2 linked regions of the Saccharomyces cerevisiae S288C genome follow. The gene in region 1 interacts genetically with each later gene. Each region holds a gene or a part of one and is shown in the gene's direction. Other genes may lie near its edges.

Evidence for each region.
Region 2: of HUG1 (region 1) and RNR2, a mutation in one rescues a mutant of the other (synthetic rescue), as found in Saccharomyces cerevisiae (one study listed by BioGRID).

The regions. Positions count from the first base shown.
Region 1 is NC_001145.3:156,531-159,466, forward strand, and holds HUG1 (Hug1p), read left to right. Parts: upstream 1-2,229; coding exon 2,230-2,436; downstream 2,437-2,936. Other genes in the region: NTE1 (lysophospholipase), read right to left, coding at 1-1,728; ribonucleotide reductase inhibiting protein SML1, read left to right, coding at 2,853-2,936. UniProt on the Saccharomyces cerevisiae protein: Involved in the MEC1-mediated checkpoint response to DNA damage and replication arrest.
Region 2 is NC_001142.9:390,123-394,103, forward strand, and holds RNR2 (ribonucleotide-diphosphate reductase subunit RNR2), read left to right. Parts: upstream 1-2,281; coding exon 2,282-3,481; downstream 3,482-3,981. Other genes in the region: VPS53 (Vps53p), read right to left, coding at 1-731; YJL028W (uncharacterized protein), read left to right, coding at 1,189-1,524; YJL027C (uncharacterized protein), read right to left, coding at 1,711-2,127; RRN7 (Rrn7p), read left to right, coding at 3,845-3,981. UniProt on the Saccharomyces cerevisiae protein: Provides the precursors necessary for DNA synthesis. Catalyzes the biosynthesis of deoxyribonucleotides from the corresponding ribonucleotides. RNR2 provides the diiron-tyrosyl radical center.

The DNA.
Region 1 (2,936 bases):
CAGTAAATCACCAGGATTAAATTGGTCTCTTGAACCCAGTACGACATGTCTCGAACTTGGATGGTGGGTGAATTCTGGTTTCAGTGAAAGGGAATTCGAACTTGTGTTAGCGTTGGCGTTAGCAATCTTAAGCGATTGAATGATACCATCAGATGGCTTCGCTTTGGGCGGTTTCTTCAATTTAGAGGAAGCATTACTATTTTTGGGTTTCGGTTCTAAATCAGCCGATCCGCTCGACTTATCTACAGTTTTAAACTTACGAATAACGGCCTCTTTCAAATAATAAGGCAATTCATAAACGATGGATTTATTTAGTAAAACTTCGATATCCATGATCTCCTTTGTTAAACCTAAGTAGTCGTGAGCAGTTTGGAACGTAACATGGTATAGCTTGGTGAGAACCATCTGTATGATATGGGAAGCAGACCGTGGGTATTTTGCGGTTAATTTGGCAAACGATTGAGGTGGGATAATACCAATTGTGCAGTCTGTAGCCGCACGGGCGACAAGTTTAGGCATTGAAGAGGGGAACGTTGGAAAGCTGTTGGTGGAGTTTGTCATGGAATCTGTGTTGGAGAAGTTCTGCTCTGATGAGCAGAACATATTGTTGACCGACACCGTTGTGTCTATAGGTGACGATAACTCAGAGGGAAAGTTACTGTTGCCATACGAGGACATGGAATGCGTGAATAAGTTTAAAATGCTCACGAGGGAGGTCAGCGGGTTTCCTGGCTTGACTGTATTTAGCAGTTGAAAATTTCCCAGTCCATTTTTCAGATGAATGTAACCAACGGATTCATCTTCTTCATCGATGAGGTTAGAAGAACAAGATTTGGTGTCGTAGTTATCAATGTCATCATCTTCTTCTTCGTCTTCTTCATCTCTATCCTGGTCGTCAAGACCATCCGTGTCACTGTGGTCAGTTTCATCGCCATGGTCCTTATCTGAATGATCTACTTCATGATATAACTGCAGGGTGCCTTCAACGACGATGGCAAACCCAATAGTACTGTCCAACAGTAAAATCTCACCCTCATCCATTTTTTGAGTTTTCATATTCTTGGTCAGGTCATGGAAGACTGGTTTTTCCAGATAGCCAAAGATTTTGATGGCGCTGAGAAATTGGTCAAGGTAAGATGAAAGAAAGGTTTCGTTTTCGTTGCCATCTTTCAATGAATGCTTTTTTGAGTCTATAATCGAGCTTGCACCCGTGGTAGAGGAACCTATGGCGGGTGGCGCGTTGGCTGACTGAGTGGAAGCTGCATTGATATTGGCGCTGGAGCCAGATTTACCTGTATTTTCCAGCGGCAAGAACTCCGGGGTCAGCCTCTTGTACTGGGATAGAATTCTCTCCTTCATGATGGTGTAAGTCACAAAGACTATGACGGCTAGGGCAAACAGGATCAGCCAAAAGGAAAGAGTGAACTGAACATGGTGTAACTTGAAGAAGATCCACTTCGGAATCCTTAAAAGCGATAAAGTTGCCAGATACCAACCGTACCTGAAGATCATACGAGAGGCACCCATAACAAAGTAGGACACAACCCACGAGAAGTTGAAGAGGGATGAAAGTGACCACGTCTGCGCCTCAGAAATAATCTGGTCGGTGAGACATGTCTGGAATCTATAAGAAGTATAATTACTGGAATTAAAGCTGGAGCCAAGACTGTTTTTCGTGTTTTGGCCGGTATTGTTGGTGTTGTTCGTAGTGCAATTCATTGAACGCATGCAAAAACTAGAGCCAAGCCTTTCTATTCTTTTCTTGTTTATTTTATATTCGTTAGAGTTTTGTGGTGTTTCTTTAACTTAATAAACTTTCGAGAAAAGTGTCAAGTTTCCCAGATTTTTAAGATCCTTATAACCTGTAAAAAAAAAAAAAAAAAAAAAAAAGAAGGGTTTAAATAAAAATCGGACTTACTCAAAGGGTTGAAAAGCACTTTAATATAGGTTTTTAGTTTCGGGTAAGAAGATGTGTCAAAGGTCTCGAAAAGGAAACATTAGGGCAAATACGTAAAGGTTGCCTTCGTATCTCGTTTCCACAGCAACGAGAAACGAGATACGAAGGCAACTGATTCCCAGCATATAAAAGGCCATGAATTTTTGGCGTTTCCTATTGTCTTTTCGAAACTATTTCTTTCATTCCTTTCCTTTCTTGTTCTTTTACTTATAAGAAAAATAATATACGTATATATATAACTACAAACCACATCAGCAATAAAAAAAAACTATATGACCATGGACCAAGGCCTTAACCCAAAGCAATTCTTCCTTGACGATGTCGTCCTACAAGACACTTTGTGCTCAATGAGCAACCGTGTCAACAAGAGTGTCAAGACCGGCTACTTATTCCCCAAGGATCACGTTCCTTCTGCCAACATCATTGCCGTCGAACGTCGCGGCGGTCTTTCTGACATTGGTAAGAATACTTCCAACTAAGAGCATGCTTCTCTTTTTTTTTGTAGGCCAATGATAGGAAAGAACAATAGATTATAAATACGTCAGAATATAGTAGATATGTTTTTATGTTTAGACCTCGTACATAGGAATAATTGACGTTTTTTTTTGGCCAACATTTGAAATTTTTTTTTGTTACCTCGCGCTGAGCCCAAACGGGCTCCACTACCCGCCGCGGTCGCCATTTTGGGAAGTCATCCGTCCCAAAAAGGAAATAGCCATAACATATCGTTACTGTTTTGGAACATCGCCCGTTTCGCCCGATTCCGCCTCAGCGGGTATAAAAAGAGATCTTTTTTTTTCCTGGCTGTCCCTTCCCATTTTTAAATGTCTTATCTGCTCCTTTGTGATCTTACGGTCTCACTAACCTCTCTTCAACTGCTCAATAATTTCCCGCTATGCAAAATTCCCAAGACTACTTTTACGCTCAAAATCGCTGCCAACAACAACAAGCCCCTTCCACATTGCGTACCGTGACCATG
Region 2 (3,981 bases), on another chromosome or scaffold:
GATCCGGCTTCATCGTCGACCCTAAATATCTCTTTCATTTCGAAGAGAAGTTTGTCCAAACACCAATCTATCATCTGGGCTCTCGTACTTGTATCGCAGTCGAGTAGCTCGCAGGCACCTTCGCGCAATTCCATAGTGAGTGCTGTATCATGCTCTGAGATATTGCCGCCGGAAAAGAGCGCATTGTAGTTTTGTTTAATTTTGGACAAAGTGTCTCCTTTCAGTCTTGAAATGGAGCTCAACAAATAGTTTATCTCGTCCAATGATTTGTAAGAGATGAATGTGTTTTCAGCAAGCGAACACATTATCTTATAAGGGGACACCATTTTTTTGAATGAGCCCTGTGAGAGTAATTCATTGCATTGTATGTAACTGTCTGTCAATATCTTTAAATTTTGGAAAAGAGTCAAAGAGTGGGTGAGGTTTTTCTTGGCAATGTCCAGGTACGAGATACCTTCTGTCAGATTCGATATCGTCAACTCGGTGGAGGCTGAGACATCTTGAGTTTCTTTGAAATCTTGGAAAACTTTCCTCAGAGAAGCCTCTATTTCAGCGGAATTTTTAGGGTGTTCCTTCAATTCATTCTCTTCTTTGAGAATATCCTCTTGCAATTGCTTTTTGTAGCTTCTGGTAATACTGATCAGTTCATCTATGTTGTTCAGGGATTCTTTTGAAAAAAGTATATTGGTAATATCTTCCAGCGGGTCATAATCTACCGTACCTTCCAGCATTGTCCTTCTGAGAAAACAAAAATGGAAGATGTTGTGAAAATGCAGTAAGTGACAATAAGCTAGCGACTTTTCAATGATCGCAGATTAAGTATATATACACTTTAGGTCTCCTTCTCTTCTTTACTAGCTACGAAAAAACAAAGAAAAAAAAAACAAAATAGAGGGAAAAAAGATATACGTATAAAAATATGCTCCAGGGGAGGTTCGAACTCTCGACCTTCAGATTATGAGACTGACGCTCTTCCTACTGAGCTACTGAAGCACTATTTCTTGTTCCAACCGAGGAATAATACTAGACCTGTAGAAAAGTACCGCTTATCTAATATCCAACTTTTTCTTCTGTTCCCTTTAGTGAATTCAAGATGAAGGAACATAACAGAACGGAAAACAAAAAAAAAGGGAAGAAAAAAGATATCACCACCAATTGGCACGCTCGCAACGGTTTCGGGCCAGATTCATGGCCCTGTGGGGTAGAAGTGCCTACAGACAAAAAACCGTTACGTCCCGCCTCACCAAGCATCGACACACAAGCCCTCTCAACCTCCTTAATTTCTTTATCTTTTTTTCCCTTCACCTCTGTGCTCTTTTTTTAGCCACAGCTGTGCATTACGCTTGCTTTGCTTGTTTTGTTCTCTTTCGCCATGCCATATTACTACTTTTCTACTTACTGGCACGAGGCCGCGCAAGCCAGATCCAAGCACGCCAGAAAGTGCGGTGTACTGGTGCAACCTTTTATCGATTTCTCATCATATCGCTATCGCAACGGGCATGGGCGACGAAAAAGCCAATCTAAAGCGTTGTCTTCCTCGTTCCTCGCGCACGCGATTTTGCGTTCTGCATAGGAAGCCGAAGTCGAACAAGAAGCAGGCAAAGTTTAGAGCACTGCCCCTCCGCACTCAAAAAAGAAAAAACTAGGAGGAAAATAAAATTCTCAACCACACAAACACATAAACACATACAAATACAAATACAAGCTTATTTACTTGACATCGCGCGATCTTCCACTATTCAGCGCCGTCCGCCCTCTCTCGTGTTTTTTGTTTACGCGACAACTATGCGAAATCCGGAGCAACGGGCAACCGTTTGGGGAAAGACCACACCCACGCGCGATCGCCATGGCAACGAGGTCGCACACGCCCCACACCCAGACCTCCCTGCGAGCGGGCATGGGTACAATGTCCCCGTTGCCACAGAGACCACTTCGTAGCACAGCGCAGAGCGTAGCGTGTTGTTGCTGCTGACAAAAGAAAATTTTTCTTAGCAAAGCAAAGGAGGGGAAGCACGGGCAGATAGCACCGTACCATACCCTTGGAAACTCGAAATGAACGAAGCAGGAAATGAGAGAATGAGAGTTTTGTAGGTATATATAGCGGTAGTGTTTGCGCGTTACCATCATCTTCTGGATCTATCTATTGTTCTTTTCCTCATCACTTTCCCCTTTTTCGCTCTTCTTCTTGTCTTTTATTTCTTTCTTTTTTTTAATTGTTCCCTCGATTGGCTATCTACCAAAGAATCCAAACTTAATACACGTATTTATTTGTCCAATTACCATGCCTAAAGAGACCCCTTCCAAAGCTGCTGCCGATGCATTGTCCGACTTGGAAATCAAAGATTCCAAGTCCAACCTTAACAAGGAATTGGAGACATTGAGAGAGGAAAACAGAGTAAAGTCAGACATGCTTAAGGAGAAATTGAGCAAGGACGCTGAAAATCACAAGGCTTACTTGAAATCTCATCAAGTTCACCGTCACAAACTTAAGGAAATGGAAAAGGAGGAACCTTTGTTGAATGAAGACAAGGAGAGAACTGTTCTTTTCCCTATCAAGTACCATGAAATCTGGCAAGCCTACAAGCGTGCCGAAGCTTCTTTCTGGACCGCTGAAGAAATTGATTTGTCTAAGGATATCCATGACTGGAACAACAGAATGAACGAAAACGAGAGATTTTTCATTTCCAGAGTTCTTGCCTTTTTCGCCGCTTCTGACGGTATTGTTAATGAAAACTTGGTTGAAAACTTCTCCACCGAAGTCCAAATTCCAGAGGCAAAGAGTTTCTACGGTTTCCAAATCATGATTGAAAATATTCACTCTGAAACTTACTCCTTGTTGATCGATACTTACATCAAGGACCCTAAAGAAAGTGAATTCTTGTTCAATGCCATTCACACCATCCCAGAAATCGGTGAGAAGGCCGAATGGGCTTTAAGATGGATTCAAGACGCTGACGCCTTGTTTGGTGAAAGACTAGTTGCCTTTGCCTCCATTGAAGGTGTCTTTTTCTCCGGTTCCTTTGCCTCCATTTTCTGGTTGAAAAAGAGAGGTATGATGCCCGGTTTAACCTTTTCCAACGAATTGATCTGTAGAGACGAAGGTTTGCACACCGACTTTGCATGCTTGTTGTTCGCCCATTTGAAGAACAAACCAGACCCAGCCATTGTTGAAAAAATTGTCACCGAGGCTGTGGAAATTGAACAAAGATACTTCTTGGACGCCTTACCAGTTGCTTTGCTAGGTATGAACGCTGACTTAATGAACCAATACGTTGAGTTCGTCGCCGACAGACTGTTGGTTGCTTTCGGTAACAAGAAATACTACAAGGTCGAAAACCCCTTCGATTTCATGGAAAACATCTCCTTGGCCGGTAAGACCAACTTCTTCGAAAAGAGAGTTTCTGACTACCAAAAGGCTGGTGTTATGTCCAAGTCGACTAAGCAAGAAGCCGGTGCTTTCACCTTCAACGAAGACTTTTAAGAGTATCTCTCTATATATTTCTTTTTACGCAGTCTCTTCAATCTCTTTATGTGGGCTTTCGCACCTCTTATTTATATATATATATATACACTGAATCATATAAACTTTTTTTTATATTGAATCTAATATATTATCAAACGGAAACTTCGGCTGAATTTCATACGTATATTGATTAAAGTGGAAAGGGCATCGGAAAAGTAAGAAAAGCTTAAAAAAATTGAAAAAAAAAAAAAAAAAAATAAAAAATAAAAAATAAAAAAACCTATACAATACATACATATGTATATGAATATAAACCTGGAACGATGTGTCTTTAAAAATAGTTGAACGAACTACTCGGACATACCCCTACATCACTTAAGGATGTCTACTTTCATAAGAGGTCCCATCTGCGGTACAGACAACTGCCCCTCACGGCTTTGGCGTATCATTGATGGGAGAAGAACCTGCCAATATGGTCACGTTATGGAAGGTGACGTGGAATTTAACGACGATGAAGA